Linked DNA regions of Drosophila melanogaster. The protein of the gene in region 3 purifies or fractionates together with the protein of the main gene of each other region. This does not show direct contact. Each region holds a gene or a part of one and is shown on either strand. Other genes may lie near its edges.

Region 1 (5,603 bases), on a different chromosome or scaffold from region 3:
TAAACAATCTGATTTATAAACGCCCCCACAACACAGTAAACACATACATGTATGTACACACCTGTTAGGAATCTGCCAAAGAAAACCAGAAACACGGCGGGCTCTAAAATAAGCGAGCGGGGTCGTTTTAGCCAGCTAGAGAATGTCCTATTGCTGGGTGGCGGCGACCGCACTTCGATGTCCAGCGGTTCATCATCAGCGCCAATAATTGGCTCCTCATCATCTCTCGGCATTTTGTGGTTCAGTAAAGGTCGCGGTGATCGCAGCAATTATCGTGTAGACAAAGGAATTAACGATTCATTCAGCCAAGCAATATATCGTAGCGGGAACTGAGTTAAACATCTGTGCGCGCCGAACTCGAGTGATAGACTAACTGGAGGGAGCAGCTGAAATAGACGACGTAAACAAACAAAGCAAGCGATTGCCAATTTGAGCAAACCAAAGCGTTTGCTGCGCCCTATCTGCGCACGAACGCTCGAGCGGCTCCCTCTCGAGAAACCTCACATCGCGACACACAATTCCCATTCGATTTATGCTCAAAGATATTGAATGCTCGATGTATTCACACTTTATTGTCACACTGCAAACAGTTAAATCTTTTGTTCTTAACTTTACAATGCTTGCACATGCAAAACACAGTCCAAATAGCAGATATAGTATATATATACATATACACTGATCAAAATCATAATAATACTTGCAAAAATATACAAGGAGTACAAACACTAGATTAATTTACACAAATAGTTTCTAATCTTTTAAAACGAGAGCTCTTCGCAGCGCCTGCAGAAGGAATTTAACTTATGAGATACATTCAGCTAAATCGGTGCTCTGGAGAGTTTGTTAGCTGCCAATGGCCTGGTAGACACTGCTACTACCCATCGACTTCTGGATGCCGAAGATCACGCTGTATTGAAAAGTATTCGCTTTAAACTGGACTTGAACTGTGCTTGGTAGGACTTACGCTATCAGAATGTAACACACAAAGTAGAGAGCGGCGCTAATAAAGTTGAAAGCTCCGGGATAATTTTCCAAAGTTGCCTTGTAGACGGTTGTGTACAGAGGTGCAGCGCCCAGTGGCGAAACCGATTCCATGGAGGTGGTCAGAGCAAAGATCTTGCCTAAATTATTTCATATGGTTTTAGTTAATGGTATTTGCAGGCTAAACACTTTGGGTACGTACCAACTTCAGTCGCGGGTGCAACGTGCGAGAGAATCGCGCGGCACATAGGTCCCATGACGCCACGCATCATACCCAGCGTCATGCCCAGATACAGCTCTTGCCAGTAGACTGCTGTGGCTCGAACCGTGCTCTCCAGAACACAGCAAGCCAGGGAGAGCATTGCCATGGTTACGATAGACATCTTTAGAACGCGGCGCAATACCAACATGCCAACGATGCTGCCCACAATCTGGATCACGATGCGGGATGCGTTGAATAGACTGAAGTCCTTAATGGTCCAGTTGAATTTATCCTGCACGAACATGTAATTTACAGTGCTCTCTCCCTCTGAAATCATTATAAATTAACTCATATAATCTTAAGTTTGAATTATGTTACCCATGTCGAAAATGGCTATCGTAAGGGCAATCATTGTAAGCCAGATGATTGTGCGATCAAAGTTGGGGCGCCTCTTAAAGCAGGTGCGAATCAGGTCCGTGACCAAATCGAAACGGAAGAACTCACGGACTCGCGACTAAAAATGAGGGAAGGAGTGTTGAGATATTCGTTTCTTCTTAGCTATAGAAATTACTTACTCCGGTGTGAATGTCACCTGGATTTAGGCTTTCAGGTACAAACAGAAGCACGTACATCAAGGCAAACATCATCAGGCTACCAGCAATGGAAAACAACACCAGAGCATTTGTGGCAGCATAGATATAACCGCTGGCCACATTGCCCACCATTATGCCAGCACAGAGGGAGGCTTCATTGAGGACCATTCTTTCAAATAATATATCAAAATGAAATGGCATTCTTTGGATTAATAAATCAAGACTACCCATACTCACCTCAGAGCCTTCTTTCGCTCCTTGGCCACATCGGATATGTAGCAATAGATTCCAGTAATCAAGGCGCAAGTTCCGCCGCTTACGACGGAAGGAACCGAGGAAAGGAGGAACCACCATGGACTTATATTCGTGGACCTCGTTATGTAAGTGATTACTATCAGTATGAGTGCGCCAGTGAGGTAGCCTTTAAATACAATAAGAGTCATTTGTACAAGATGCAATTAAGATGTCCTGACTGATGATTATATACCCGTAAAAGTTGTCAGCAGGATTGGCCGCCTTCCGAACTTGTCGGACCAGGGACCCAGGAACAGACTCGCGAAGGCAGGAATAATGCTCTCTAGCAGAGAGGTTGTCATCATAATATTTGCAGAATACGTCTGTACTATCACCTCGACTTCCTGAAAAAACAGAAGTTCACTTTAGTAAACTGCACAACTGTACAACTGTGGATGAGTCAATGTGCCATATCTCGTACGTATAATTATAATTTTAACGCTTTCCTAGTAAATACTTCGATACTGCTTCGAAATGCAGTAACAAAGGATTTTGCTTACTTCTATTCCGGCCGTTGATAAGCCTCGACTGGCGTTCTAATTACCTTATCTCTAGCCTCCAAACAATGGCAGTTTTGCATTAGGTTGAGACGATTTGCTAATTTGATTTTACTTTGTCACGTCGGATGCTGATATAGTAAGATATACTAAGTAGGTCACGTCTTGGAAGAATATCGGCGAGCCAAATGCGAAATACATTGTTCTATACAGCAAAGGTCATAATAGTAGCAATTACTCGTAAAACAAGTTAATATTGTGATACATTAATTGTGGTTTTAAAATTGTTCAGCAGTTTTTGTAACTTAAACTTCAGTTTTTGTTTACAGTTACTGGATAAATTTGTTTAAAATTGCCATTTTCCTCATCGCCATAAAATCACAACACGAAACGCCCAGCAAAGCAGCAAAAATAATTTGCACAGAGATAAAAACCAGGCAACGAGAACAGAAACTACACAAAGTACAGATATCAAATTGTACATGATGTGTATACTATAAGGGTCAAATTAAATACTTACTTTATCCGCGTCCGATCCGCGATCAATGCCCAGCAGCGGTTCACATTGCGTGGCATTGAATTTCTCGATGGTGATGCAGGTTTGGTAGAGAATTTGGTTCTGATAAACCGCCCCTAAAACGCACACAAAGTTAATTCAATGATGCAATCCAATCGGTTTTACTGCCCTATAGCCATTATACCAATTAAATTTCTGGCGAAGAAGATTAAAAAAACTGCGGGCTCCAGGATGAACCAGCGATAGCTGCTGTAGTCATGAGGCGGCGGTACCGGAGGCGGGTCCACCTGCTCACTGCTGGCCGCAGATGATGCGTCCAGTATGCGTGGTGCCGAATCTTCGCCAGTCTCCACATCGGCCACCAAAGCCTCCGTATCAGAGCGAGGCATACTGCCGTTCCGTTCCGTTCCTACTTGCTCGCTATCGAGAACGGAACTCGTGGATGCGTCTGGCTTACACCAGTCTACCGGAGATAATGGAATTTACAATTCATTCACCAGAACGCTGCGCAGTTCCCTGAAAGTCTTCCAAACGCGACGGAGAGTTTTCAGATACTAAAGCTTCAGCTGCTTTACTGCTGATTAACGTGGATTTATTGTTGCTTAAATCCCTGGTACGTGTATTATTTTCACAAGTACAGCTGGCTGGATTCTCCCGCAGTTAACGTTACTCTATTCGAAACTTTCTAAATGCAAGCAGCAACAGCTGATTGACTTCTTCTTCTTCTGTGTTATTGTTTTGATTTCGATTTTCGATTCTTAGTGCTAGGGATGCCAACTTGCGGCGAATTGAGAGTTTGTGGTTTAAATTTTCTGACACTTTTTACTGGTTAATTAATTCAATTTATTTATAATTTTAGTAGCGTCGTCGGTCACGCTCTCCTCGCGAGTCCCGTTCCCGCTGGTCGTGACGGCCACGGTCACGTTCTCGCTCTCGTTCCCTATCCCGGCGATCTCTGTCGCCGTCCCTCTCGCGCTCCCTGATACTGTCGCGATCTTGGCGCTCTCGTTCGCGATCGTGGCGTCCATTGTTTTGCCGACGGTCATAGTCCTCGTTGTGGGTGTCCCGATTGCGCACCCTATTTCGCTGGCGGTCGTAGTCTTCCAGTTCGTCGTAGTAATCCCGGGAACGGGCGCTGTTGCCCTGCCCAGATCTTCGCTCGCGCTCCCGACTGCGGGACCTTGACTTGGAGCGAACTCTCCGTGGTCGTCTCACTGCTGTCGAATTCTCCTTAGGCCGGTTGGTCTCGTCTGCCTTCTCCTCGTCGCTGGGCAGTTCGTCGTCCAAGTCCTCATCCAGCACTGACACCTTGGGCTCGATTTCGTTGTTTTCCTCGAGAATGGAGCGCTTCTGGATGCGGGGCAGTATAATGTCGCAGACACGGTCGTTGCGCAGCAGTTCGTCAATGTACTCATCCATGTAGACAATCTCGAACTGGCCGGCGCGATTCTGGCGGCGCAGCTTTCGATTGTCTATGTACAACGGCTCCAGGTACTTGTAGCAGTCCAGGGCAGCTCCTGTGAGCCGTAGATAGAAGGCTCCCAATGCTCGAACGTACTTGAACTCCTCGTTCTTGATAAACTCCACTACGATGTCCTTTTCCGGCTGAATCTGCAGCATCTTGAGTGTGAGGCAGAGGAACTGGGTGGGCTTGATGTTGCCGCCGTAGACGCCTCCGACGAATCGCAGCTCCATTGCCTTGTCCACCAGAAGCTCCGCAGTGAGAGCAAAGCATTGCTCCTTCCAGTACTTAGAGTCGTATATCCTCGAACGGATGATCTTCTCGATGAGGTACTGCGGATTGGTGCCGTGCACGTTTTTGGCCTCCTTCACCGTGCGGTTGGCCATTTTCAGTTGAACCCTTGTTCCTTGTCAATCGTAACTCAAATAGGACTTTTCAATCCAGAAATTCGGGTATCTATTGGCAGCAGTGCAAAATGTGAAAATGCACCGAATATATTTATTTATTTTTCGGCGTTTGCTAACCAGAGTGGCCAGCTGCGTAAGGGAGAAATATGCCACTCCGCCAAGCGCATACACAAAGGCGATAACGATAGGGGACGGCAATCGGTATCGGGTGACGCATACGAACAACAGCTCCCAGACAACCAAGAAACGCAATAGCAGAAAAAAACTCACTTGTTCGCTAAATTCGGGTGAAAAAACAGATCAGCCAGGATGAGTTTCTTCGGGAAGATGTTCGGCGGCAAGAAGGAAGTGGCCCCCACCACCGGCGAGGCGATACAGAAGCTGCGCGAGACGGAGAACATGCTTATCAAAAAGCAGGAGTTCCTGGAGGCCAAGATCGAGGACGAACTGAATATAGCCCGCAAGAATGCGTCTAAAAACAAAAGAGGTATGAGAGGAGTGCGCCGAGGTCCTTGGCTTCCTAGTTGGTCACTCAAATGGGCCAAGGGGAAATGACTCATTGCTTTGTTTTTGTTGCGGCCGCGAGGCCTGCTCCCAGTTAATCAGTATCCCATACTGCCAGCAAATAGAAAACTCAATAAACAATATGT
Region 2 (8,009 bases), on a different chromosome or scaffold from region 3:
GCGTGTTGGGTCTTTGCGCTTCTTCGTAGAAGGGAACTGGCTCCGCGGTCTGCAGCGCTGGTGGCAACTTATCGCCGCTACCCAAGGGGAATATGTAAAAGTCGCGTATCTGATCCGAGTCCACGCCCAGGACGCCCAGACGCTGACGCGAGTCCAGGTATTCGAAGAAGAGATCAAACTTATACGTTTCGCTGGGCGAGGCGGGGAATATGTTCACAATGACCACTTCCTTTGTGGGACTCTTCTTTAGCTTCTTGATATATTCCCAGACATTAACGCGGGTTATGCGACCGATTACGTCCATCTGACTTGGCATCAGGTTACCCAATTGATGGCAGTTACCCTGCACGGGGTACATGACGATTTCGAAGTCGGCCAAATCGATCATCTTGAGAGTACCGGACCACAGTGAACTCGTCGTCAGGCCGTGCAAGTAGCGGGAGTAGTTGTCCATTGGCTCAGGTGCCTTCAAAGAACTCGGAAGCGTTGGAAGTGGCTTGGGTGACGGCTTTGGTTTGCCTAGATTCGCCGCCTGCTCGACTGTTTTCTCCGATTCCAGAATTTGATCAACCAAGTTGTAAGCACTCGCCTCGGTTTTCTTTTCCGCCGTCTTTTTGGGTACCGGCGATTGGTCGTTTTCGTCCCTCTTCTTGGGCAAGGGTGATGGAACGATCTCATCCCTTTCCCGGCTCTGTTTCTCACGCGATCTATGCTCACGCTCCCCGCTGCCTGGCTGCTCTCCTCCTTCGTTGTGCTGCCTGCGATGGCGCTTATCGACGCTTCGACCCCGACTATTGGAACGACTTCGACTGCGCTTTCGATGATGATGCTTGTGGCTCTTGTGTCGCTTTTCCTTCGATGAACCCGCCTTTTCCCTGGACGTGGAACGTTCCAGTGTGGAGGTAGACGGCTCACTGACCAGCGACGTCTGTTTTGTGTCCGCCATAGATGATGCTTCACTAACGTTCTCTTCGGGCAGCGTAACATCCACTTTGGTGGCGATTACCTCCTCTCCCTTGTGTGTTTTCACCACATAGTTTTGGGCACATGCCAACAAGTCCAGCTCCGATTTCTTGATCATATCCAACTGGTGACGGTTTTCCTCCTCCCGCCACTTGGCCAACTCTTGGCTGGCCAGCTGTTCCGGCGTCATCCGCACCAACTGCCTGGGCTCCACTTGCTTGGCACAAATCTTTTCGAAAAGCGTTCGGTTCTTGCGATCCTTTATGTTGAACATAAGCGATCGATACTTGGCCTTGTACTTGGCTCCCACGTCTCGGCCAAACGAGTTGAACATTTCCAGCTCCACGTTCTTGACAAACTGATCCACCTCAAGTACGGTCGGCCACTGAGTCGTTGGCTGGCCAGAGTTCTCCTCGGCAGCCTGAGCTTCTTTGATTCGCGCTAGTAGTTGCTCCCTGAGTGATCGCCGGATGCCGATTCGAACCGGCTCGGGTTTGCCCGCTGCGATACGATTAGGGGTTGGCGCCTGTACTGTAGGTGTTGTCTTCTCTTTATCCTTTTTGGCCAAAGGACGCACGGAAGAGATTCCAAGTTGGTGGCTTGCCTGAACTGTGGTGTTTTGGGGATGGGACAATTTGGCAGGACCTTCAGGTGGCTTTTTTGCAACTCCTAGCACGGCGGGTTCTGAAGTTGAGGTGGCGGCTTCCGGTGCCCCTTTCAGCAAACGCTTCTCTGCGTCGGCTGACTGAACGGTTCCTGAGGGCAGCACCTCGAAGGAGGGATTCTCCTGAAGCCATTTCCGAAACTGATGTGCAGAAGGGGCCATGTGCCCGGTGATAACCCGACCACTTTTACGCTCAAACACATTAATCTGCAAAGCAAAGTGTGCACATTATTTGTTGTATAGTTCTAATTAAATTAACCTTTATTGCATACCCGTTCCACTTTTGACACAGTGTCCGCTTGCCTCAGCACGTCCTCAAACAAGTCCTTCTTCTTGTTCTTTTTGGCATCGAAGGAGTTGTTCAGCAAAGACTGAGCACCGGCATTCTGTGGCAATGGGCCTTTGGTAGCAGCATGTGCTTGAATTGCACTTTGGGCATACTTCCGGATGCACTCTTCGCCACAATAGACGGAAGAGGTGCTCGCCGGTCGCTTGCAGACCACACATAACGTCTCCGAAATTCGTTTGCCAGGTGATGGGCCCAGTCTGATAAAGTTCAGCTGCTGCTGCTGCTGGTGAGAGATTGCACCGGTTGGGAACTTTTTGGCCGGCTTTGCCATTGGAATACGCATGGGGGAACTGGCTACAGTTAAGACCACCGGTAGTGTTCTTCTGGGAGCCGAAGGAGCCGCGACCTGAACAATTTCTGCTGTCGTAGTTAGTACTTTGGTTTCACTCGGCCTCTGCTCAGGTTGAGTGGTTGGTCTGGTGACCAACATGTCTGTTATTCGTGGTTGGCTCTACAAAGATAACGAATCAATAAAAGGTAACTTTATGTCTATTGTATGACTTTACCCTCTCCTCCTGCCTTTTAACGCATTTGGGGCACTTCCAGTCGATGCCCTTGTTTTCCATATCTGTGCCCATCGCCTTGGTCACCCCCACGCATGTGCCGTGGAACCAATCCTCGCACAAATCGCAGCAGATCATGAAACGATTGTTGTGTGGCTGACGACAAATGCACCAGAGCCTAAACCAAAAAAAAAAAAAAAAAAACAAAAAAGGTTTTCAACAAACGCACAGATTTGCATCTATGAAATATCCAACTATAATCTTACTTGTTGGGGTCATCGTCATCCTCCTGAGACTCTGAAGCGTCGGGATCATTGTTCTGACTTGCATCAAGCTTCTTTGATCTTCTGGGTGCCGTTGAACGTCTGGCCATCGATGGCTCTCTAGGATTGGGTCGTTTCGGCCCACTTCCCGGCTGGCTGTCATTGCTCAGGCTGCTGGTATTGAGCGGCTGATTGATGCTCGCATCCAACGAAGATTCACCAAACGACAGGTTGCCTGCATCACTGGAACTGGTCGCAGCCATGCCCGGAGCTGAAGGAAACTGTGCTCGTCGCTTGGCCCGCGTGGTGGGGGCTTCAATGGGAGGCAGGTATATGACCCGACCGTAGCCGCGCACAACCTTCGCGGAGGTGGGCGGAGTGCTTGCTGCCACGCTCCTCGAGGGTGTACTGCAGGCAATCGGCAATGAGGTCATCGATTGTGCGGGCTCCGTAAGACTTGCATTCGGCAGTAGGTTCGTGTGTGCCTGTAAAGGAGCAATGCAGTTAGCTAGCAAAATCAATAACCAGGATATTCTACACTTGCCTGTACTTGCGGCACGTCTACGGGCTCAATGGACGTAGGCATAGATACGATGGCGTCCAGGGTTCCGGGCTCTGTACTAGCCAATACTTGCTTAACCACCTCGGCCTCAAACTGTTTGTCCTCCTCGATGAGACCGACCACGTGCTGGAGAAAATCAGCTGTAATCTCATCCTCATTCGCCGTATCCATTATATTATTCGGATCGGCTGCAGCTGCATTTCCCACTCCCTGCATCTCGGGAGCTGGAAAAATATTCGTAGGCAAGGACACTGGTGGCGGATCTAGATCCGCCGCTGTACTCTCCAGCATCTTAACCAGTTTCGGTATATCCTCGTCCGCATTTACTACCGGCTGCTCCACAAGCGTGGACTTAAGTAGCTCGTCCTGCACAATCGAGTTGATCAGATCGAGCTGCTTGTCATTTTCTGCTGCCAGCTCGGAGGAACTCTGGTGCGTCTCGATTACTATTTGGGCGGGCAGTTTATGCGACTGAGCTGTGTCCACGCCGATGGGCATGAAGCCCTTGGATGGGGTATGTGCCTGAGCAGGAACCGGAACCACAATTGGCGACATCTGCTGATTGTAGCTCGATCTCGGCGTGCTTGGCGACATGACGGCCCGGTGTCGGAGTGGAACTGGCGAAGATTTTGTGGCTGCATTGTTGTCCTCACCCAGCAAAGTGTTGAGATTGGTAAACACTCCTTTGGGACTGGCCATATTCTTGTTGATAATAATCTCTTTAACTTCCTGCGGCGAGTTTACGATCCTTCCCAATTGCACGGCAGGCATACGACGAACATTGGAATTGGCCGGTGTCGTTGGCAGTGGAGGTCTCTTCACAGGCAGCGATTGATGTGTGGGCCGGATTTTGAGAAACGATGTGCTTGGAAGACCTCTGCCTAGGGCAAACACTGCGGGCACTGATTTTGTGGCAGGCATCTGGATTATTTGCCCAATTTGCGGCGCCTTCGGCTCCAAAACTTCCTTGCGTTTCTTCAGCTCGGGGAAGTGCTGCGGCGTTGTGGGTGGCGGAGGCAGCGGCTTCATTGGTTTGCTGGGAGTCTGCCTAACCACCTTTCTAACCCGCTTCCTCTTATTCGGATTACGTCTATTGCTATGCCTCATATCGAAGTCCATGTCACTGTCCCTGTCGTTGTCCGATTCCTGGAACTCATCGCTCTCCTCACTCATTTCCTCCGAATCATAGGCCTTGTCGGCATTTTCCTCTTCGGCGGAATCCGAGCTTTGGGCGTCATCATCATCTTCGATGTATTCCTGCACAGGCGGAGCAATCACTTTGACTGGAGCACGAGTGGGCCTCAGCCTGGCATTGACCGAATTGTTCGCGATAATCTCTGGCTTCTGTCTTGGCAGTGGCGAATGGATGGGCTTGCGGATCAGCTGCACTTTCGGTTGCAGCTGCGCTGCCTGCTGAACTTGGTGGGGCTTGACTGGCAGTCTCTGGACCTTGACCTGCACCGGGCTTAAGGGTATGGCCTGGACTCGTTTTTTGGCATTGATTAGCTTGACACTGCCCGGTGCCTGCATTATGATTTTGCGGCTTTGGGCCTGCATTTCCATGGCCATCTTCTCATCGCGCTTGTGGTTCTTCAGCTGCTCTGGCGAGGTAAACGGTGTGTAGTTGTGGTCATTTCGAATAACTTCCATAAGAGCGTCTGTCTCCGCAGTCCTTTTGTAGACGGAAACTCCGGCAAGCTCTGTAAATAGAATACAAATTAGTTGAAAGCTAAAGTTCGTTTACTTTCGTTGTGCTCGAAATAATGATGTTGTTTTGCTTTATCATTTGGACCACATCGATGTACGTTATTTACTCAGTGCATTTTTCACAACCATATCAGCCGTGTTGTCCGCATAAAACTGCTCCACTCGCAAACCCACAATTTGTGGACGCTCCTTGGGTTTGCGTCGCTTTCGCTTTTTGATGGCCTTGGGCTTTCGGCCAACTCGCTTGCGTGTGCGCGGGGCATCGGCTTCCGTCTCCGTGGAGTCGCTATTGTTGTCGTCACCGGTGTTATGGTTCTCCTCGTCGTGTTCATCCATCTCACTGGCATTATCGCCACCACTTTGGCTGCCATTGTCACTGTCCAGCTCCGAGTCGGTGGCAGTTTCCATAAAGTTCGCCAGCTCCTCCAGCCGTTCGTCTTCCTCTTGGTCCACCATGCTCGGCGTGGGCGATGTAATCCGCACCACGCTAATGGTGGAAATCGATTTTTCCTCTGCAACAAGCCCATGTCAGTGTGGGGAGCAATGAGCGTGTGTCAGGCCTATTGGACCCACTTACCCATGATGTTCCCAATCGCACGCTCGTCGAAGGAGATTCCGCTCTTGCTGTAGACCACAACCAGATTGGAGTCGGCTTCGGCTGCCGCCGGCCGGGCGCTGGGCGCCTCCGTAAACACCGAACTGGACATGACGCCAACTGCTCGTGATCCCCGCTAGCGGCGCATTGGAGTCGGCGGCCCACACAGCGTGTACTTAATTAGCTTGGAACAGAACAACGACTCATTTGTTGTTGCATCCGCCGCGTTGTGACGCCGACATTGAAATTGGATAGTAGGTGGAAAACGGTCACTGGGCTGCGTTCGCCCTATACTTAATACTGGTGATGCTCTGCTGGCTGCGCCCACAAGCTGGCTGTTATATTGTTGAGATTCGAGAGCTTAATCCGTTGCTGTTTCGCTTTAAAATGCAAATTTTTCTCAATTATGAAAATAAAATTTGCAAAAAAAGCCACTTCCAGTGTGACCAGACTTGGGAATGATGCCGATGCTGTAGGTTATCGATAGTTTCTGTGCCTCGCTCTGCGGAACTAGTTTCAATTGCTAGCTCATTTGAACAAAATGTTAATCTGTGTTTATTTAGGGAAATCCTTTATTTTCAAGGTCGGCTGCCAAAAAGGAAAACCGTATGATAAATAAATGAATTGAGCTAATTAAAAATATTAAAGAATATATTTAAAAAAATAAAATTCCCGATCGATGAATTGTAATTTAAGCTTGTTTTTTTTCGCGTTCAGTTCTCGGTCATACTTTTGCGAAAACAGAAAACAAAAAACACTGATAAAACCCACATAATTTACTGCCTTTGTTAGCCCGGTTATTGGCTATTATCAGCTAATCTCACTTGCTCGAGCACTCATTGTTGTCCAGAGCGCCAGTTAAACTTTGTCCTCCGTCGCAACACCATGGCCGCCTTTCAGATGGGATCGGGTTACGCAGTGCCCATGACCCTCTTCCGGAACAACAGGGATCGTGCTGGCAAGGCCATCCTTAAGGAGCTGCTGCCGGGCCTCAAGTTCAACGACGGCAACCTGCTGGTGCTCCTCGAGGGCGGCAAGGACCAGAGCCTGTACAACACCGACGTGGACTACGTTTTCCGGCAGGAGTCCTATTTCCAGTACTTGTTCGGTGTCAAGGAGCCGGGCTGCTACGGCATCCTAACCATTGATGTGAAAACTGGTGCACAGAAAAGTGTTCTCTTTGTTCCTCGCTTTCCCGATGAGTACGGCACCTGGATGGGCGAACTGCTTGGGCTGCAGGAGTTCAAGGCCATGTACGAGGTGGACGAGGTGTTTTATGTTGACGAAATGAGTGTTTATCTGGAGGGGGCGTCGCCCAAGCTGATACTCACATTGAGTGGCACCAACAGCGATAGCGGGCTCACCCTTCAGCCGCCCGACTTTGCTGGCAAGGAGAAGTATGTGACTGACTGCAATCTGCTGTATCCAATTCTCTCTGAGTGCCGAGTGATCAAGTCACCCGAAGAGATCGAGGTGCTGCGCTACGTGGCCAAGGTATCCTCGGACGCGCACATCAAGGTGATGCGGTTTATGCGTCCCGGTAGAATGGAATTTGAGGGCGAATCCCTGTTCCTGCACCACGCCTACTCCGTGGGCGGCTGCCGGCATGCCTCCTACACCTGCATATGCGGCAGCGGAACGAACTCGTCGATCTTGCACTATGGACACGCGGGCGCACCCAACAGCAAGCCCGTCCAGGATGGTGATCTCTGCCTGTTCGATATGGGAGCCAACTATTGTGGCTATGCGGCCGACATAACCTGCACATTCCCGGCCAATGGAAAGTTCACCGACGACCAGAAGTTCATCTACAATGCCGTGCTGGATGCCCGCAATGCGGTCACAGAGTCAGCCCGTGACGGAGTCTCCTGGGTGGACATGCACAAGCTGGCGGGCAGGGTGTTGCTGCAGCGCCTGAAGGAGGGCGGCATGCTCAAGGGCGATGTGGAGGAGATGCTCGAGGCAGGTGTTTCGGGCGTGTTCCAGCCACATGGCCTGGGCCACTTGATCGGTCTGGATGTGCACGACGTGGGCGGCTATCTGCCCAAGGAGCCCAAGCGCCCCAGTGAACCGTGGCTGAGCAAGCTGCGCTTTGCCCGCATCCTTAAGGCCGGCATGTATGTCACAATCGAACCCGGCTGCTACTTCATCAACTGGCTGATGGACCGCGCTCTGGCCGATCCGAACATTGCTAAATTCATTAACGCAGAGATGTTCAATCGCTTCCGGAATTTCGGAGGTGTGCGCATCGAGGACGATGTGCTCATCACGAAGACTGGCGTGGAGAACTTTGCGATTGTGCCGCGAACGGTGGAGGACATCGAGGCAACCATGACCTGTAAATATGATTCGCCGGTTTAGAGCTTTTAAACTATATTCCACGCGTAAACATATGTAATATAA
Region 3 (4,321 bases):
GGAGTCCAAGTCACACGATTCGTTGCCCATTACCAGATGTAATTTCCGGCCGGAAACGTCGGGAGCAGCAGCCCAGGCAACTGGTGAGGCCTCCGCCAGATGCTGCGCGAGAAGAGAAACCCTATTAGTGCTTGACCTTCTCACTTCTGGTGCTCTTTCAGAATTCTCACCCGTCCCAAGGTGCCCCTGGCCTGGGCCAAAAATCGTAGAAAGCACATTTGTTAGGGAAATCTCGGAAAAGCTGGGAAAACAAACGGCTGATAGCTTCCATATATTTCAACAGTTGCGCGTATCGATTCGATGTGACATTTATCGATTGATCAGCGCGAAACTGAAATAAATAAATTACAAAGATAATGCTTTAATGTATATAAATACATATATAATGCATTTGTTTGTAACGCAGTAATGTAATCTGTGGTCGCTCGTTTACTAAGCTTAATCACATTAATTGGGTTTATTCCACATTCTGTGCTTTCAGCTGATCCCATTTAGCTGATAAGGCAGCGCATCCATTTTGGTTTGACTTCTGCTGTATATGTGATGTATAAGCACTTGTATTTATATTGAATTCCTGGTATTAGTTTAGACATTTAAATTTGAACTAATTTCTATCACTTTTTGGCGGTGAAAAACTACACCTGCCCATCACTGCGCCAGCTGATTGCAGTTTGCTGTTATCGATAGCGATAAGCAGATTCAAGCTGTCTGGCGCCAGCTGATCCTAAATCCTTTGTTTTTATTCTTGACTCCCAGATTTTCAATACAACCGCGGCCGCAGCCCAACATTTACCCCGCTCTTGGAGCGCAGCACTATTTTAATGGATGGCTCCACATCGGCTCCCATTGGAAGCAGCTGGTAGTGGCGTATCACTTTGGTCACCATGGTTTTCATCTCCAGCAGAGCAAACTTTTGACCAATGCAGTTCCTCGGCCCAGCGGAGAAAGGTATGTAGCTGTAGGGACTCAGTCTGGGTGCCTCTTCTCCTAGATGCCTCTCCGGCTGGAAGACCAGTGGATCGGTGAAGATCGCTTCATCCCGGAGGAGCTGCCAGAGAAGTACGACCACGTTGGTTCCCACAGGGATGTAGCCCTCATCTGGTGTAGATTGACGTAGATTGACTTAGGTGAGTCTTAAATTCTCAGACCTTACACTCACCTATAACCAAATCCTTTTCCAGGCAGCGTGCGACGGCCGGAATAGGCGGATAAAGACGCAGGGACTCTTTGACCACGCAGCTTAGATACGGTAACGTCGCGAAATCCGAGAGAATAACGCCTCTGAATAAATCCTGGCCGTAGTGCATCCTCAGTTCCTCAAAAAGCTTTTGTTGCACTGCCTCATGGCGGGAAAGCAGATACAAACAGAAGGAAACCGCTGAAGTCGTCGTATCGTGACCCTCAAAGATGAAAGTGTTCACTTCATCGCGAATTTGCTTGTCAGTCAATGGTTGCCCATCCACAGTTGCCCGCAGGAGCGTGTCCAGCAGGGCGTGGGGCTTTGTTGGCTTATCTTGATTAGCCTCCCTGGCCAGTAAACGGCGTCGCTGCTCTATAATTCCGTTGGTAAACTCATGGAGGCAGATGACTCCTGCCTGTTGCTTTCTGAATCCGCTGGGCCAGCACAGGCGAAAGAGGTGGGGAAAGAGGAGATGCGGCCTCATGAACCTGGTGGCCAAGATGTTGGTTAGACTAAAGAAAGATAAACGGTAAGAAAAAATGTCAGTTAGAACATATTACAACCTACTCTTTTACAGCGTGCACCACCTCAGAGTCAGCTCCTTGAGCGTCCACGTTCACGCCCATAGCAGTTTCGGTGATTATGTCTAGGGCAGCCAAGCCCACCAAGGGATAGATGTTCACGACCTCGTTGCCGTACGACAGCGTTCTCAAACGCTCCACTAATATGCTGCTCTGCCTATCGAAGACCTCGACAAACTGCTCCAGGATGCTAAAGTGAAACGTGGGCGTGATGATTTTGCGCATCGTGTGCCACTCCTTTCCACGACTCAGCAGCAGTCCATCGCCCAGCCAACCGCGTAAGGCAAAGTACATCGTGCCCTTCTTCAACTGATGCTGACCCTGCAGCAGTGCATCGATATGTCGGGGCTCCGCTGTAACCATAACCACATGGCCTAAGACAGTGCCCATGAAACTGCGACCAAAACGCTTAACATACTCGGCGAACTTATCATGCAAGTCTGGAATTTAATAGAGTAAATATCAAATATTGAAGAGTTCAAACGGGAACTTACTGTCTGGCTGAAAACTCCGCATCTGCCAGGCGGCTCCTAGTAGAGGAACTCTCGAAACACTTGGCACAACGCCTTGCAAAGGATGTCGAAGCTCCTTTAGCGCCAAACGGAACAGCGAGGCCACTAGGCGAGTCACCAGGAGGGCCACCAACAAAACCACCAACATGTTGAAGCTTTGCTGCGTATCTTAAGGAGCACTTGGGCTCTCGAGTAGCTGGCAATCTTATCTGGAGCACTACAAATGTGTCGCCTATCTATATACAGGCACTTCGGATTTATTGCTCGTAGCTAAACTTTATATAAGCAAAACCTTTCGAATAGTGCACCACTTCGAAAGAGAAACAGTGCGGGACCACTAAGGTGAGCAGGACGGAAAATCCGAGGAAAACAACTAGCCAGCTGTTTTTCAGCAAGAACAGCTGATGGAATCAACCAAAACACAAAACATATGTACCTATGGTCATTCATATGCACATGTATGTATTGTTGAGAGTATTAAGATAATTACCCAACAGACAAAATAGTTAATTAAATACTTGTATACACGTTTATTCTATGCAAATAGAGCTGGATAGACCCACAAGAATGAATTCCTTAGGCGCGCGGTTTCAGGCCAAGATGAACGCCGTTGGCCGACCGCAGGACGATGTTCATCGAGTGGCGGGGCTCAGGACCCAAGGGCAGCAGCTCGAAGTGCCGGAGCAGCTTGCTGACGGTGCTCTTCATTTCCAGCATGGCAAACTTCTGGCCGATACAGTTTCTTGGTCCAGCGGAGAAAGGAATGTACGCATACGGATGAATCTGCGGGACATCCGCATCGAATCTTTCAGGTCGGAACTCATCGGGAGACTCGAAGTACTCAGGATCACGAAGAAGAACAAAGATGCCCATCGTAAAGTTGGTGCCTGCTGGAATATGCTTGCCACCTGACAAGAGCAATATGTTTACCTGAGATTGAAGAATCTCATATGGAACTTCTTACGTATTTCCACATCCTCGGCGAACCAGCGACCGATCATGGGCACTGGCGGGTGCAGGCGCAGCGACTCCTTAATTACGTTCTCCATAAACTTCAGCTCACCAAGATCACGAAGGGTAACTGGGCTCTTTCGATCCTCGCCGAGGACGTCGCGGATCTCCTGCTGCAGACGCTGTTGGACCTCCGGATGCCTTGAGATTTCATATAAACAGAATGAAATCGCCGAGGTAGTCGTGTCATGGCCCTCGAACATAAACGTGTCAACCTCTTCGCGGATATCCTCATCGCTCAACGGGGCGCCATCGATTGTGGACTGCAGCAGCACATCCAGCAGAGCCATCCGTCGCTTTTGGCCCAAGAAATTAACTTCCTCTTCTGGGGTTGTTTCCTTCGAGTTGTTAACCAGCGTTTCACGCCGCTCACGGATAATGTTCTCGGTAAAGTCGTGCATTACCTTGATAGCTTTGTCCTGGCGTTTAGCTTCTGTTGGCTGCGTTAGCCGGAAAATCCAGTCCACCCGCTGCCAAGCGTGGATAAAACGTTTAATCAAGATGTTGGTGACACTGTCACAAGGAAGAATTCATCAGAACTGTGGGGATTCGACCTATCATTACACTCACTCATTGACAGCCTGGACATAGGGCAGATTGGGATTTTTTTGGGCATTGATTTTTGTGCCCATTGCAGTTTCTAAACGGCGAGTATTAAGCTGTTATAAATATTTATAAGACTAATGGCAAACTCACCTGCGATTATATCCAGGGCAGTGAGACAAATCACCGGAAAGATGTTAATGGGAGTCATGCCGTCGGCGCGCGACTGAAGCTGCTCCACCATTACGGCGCTTTGTTGGTCGAATATCTCGACGAACTGTTCCAAAATCTTGAAGTGGAAGGTGGGCGTGATGATCTTTCTGCGTCCATGCCACTTCCTGCCCGTGCTCATCAGCAATCCATCGCCCAGCCAGCAGTTAAGTAGCTTGTACAGATTATTCTTGGTTATATGCTGCTGGCTGCTCAAGACGAACTCAATGTCTCGGGGATCCGTGGAGAAGACGGCCAACTGGTGGAGAATCCACACCCTGTAA

What was found.
Region 1: the proteins of Cyp4ae1 (region 3) and CG30344 purify together in Drosophila melanogaster (affinity purification with mass spectrometry, with the first as the bait; one large-scale study listed by BioGRID). This does not show direct contact.
Region 2: the proteins of Cyp4ae1 (region 3) and pps purify together in Drosophila melanogaster (affinity purification with mass spectrometry, with the first as the bait; one large-scale study listed by BioGRID). This does not show direct contact.

The regions. Positions count from the first base shown.
Region 1 is NT_033778.4:9,143,457-9,149,059, reverse strand, and holds CG30344 (uncharacterized protein), read right to left. Parts: upstream 3,801-5,603; 5' UTR 3,474-3,800; coding exon 3,269-3,473; intron 3,201-3,268; coding exon 3,088-3,200; intron 2,415-3,087; coding exon 2,264-2,414; intron 2,198-2,263; coding exon 2,014-2,197; intron 1,946-2,013; coding exon 1,759-1,945; intron 1,698-1,758; coding exon 1,562-1,697; intron 1,511-1,561; coding exon 1,184-1,510; intron 1,122-1,183; coding exon 965-1,121; intron 908-964; coding exon 844-907; 3' UTR 548-843; downstream 1-547. Other genes in the region: CG30345 (uncharacterized protein), read right to left, coding at 62-233; Prp38 (pre-mRNA processing factor 38), read right to left, coding at 3,940-4,932; shrb (shrub), read left to right, coding at 5,263-5,440.
Region 2 is NT_033777.3:12,411,866-12,419,874, reverse strand, and holds the start of pps (protein partner of snf), read right to left. Parts: upstream 6,048-8,009; 5' UTR 5,719-6,047; coding exon 5,589-5,718; intron 5,524-5,588; coding exon 5,119-5,523; intron 5,005-5,118; coding exon 3,287-5,004; intron 3,228-3,286; coding exon 2,746-3,227; intron 2,658-2,745; coding exon 2,483-2,657; intron 2,428-2,482; coding exon 1,900-2,427; intron 1,835-1,899; coding exon 1-1,834. Other genes in the region: Dip-C (dipeptidase C), read left to right, coding at 6,492-7,967.
Region 3 is NC_004354.4:2,177,197-2,181,517, reverse strand, and holds Cyp4ae1 (cytochrome P450 4ae1), read right to left. Parts: upstream 2,512-4,321; 5' UTR 2,422-2,511; coding exon 2,256-2,421; exon of another isoform or gene 2,202-2,255; coding exon 1,748-2,201; intron 1,710-1,747; exon of another isoform or gene 1,693-1,709; coding exon 1,160-1,692; intron 1,128-1,159; exon of another isoform or gene 1,099-1,127; coding exon 761-1,098; 3' UTR 520-760; downstream 1-519. Other genes in the region: pn (prune), read right to left, coding at 1-102, 171-218; Cyp4d2 (cytochrome P450 4d2), read right to left, coding at 2,850-3,181, 3,238-3,797, 3,855-3,924, 3,981-4,321. UniProt on the Drosophila melanogaster protein: May be involved in the metabolism of insect hormones and in the breakdown of synthetic insecticides.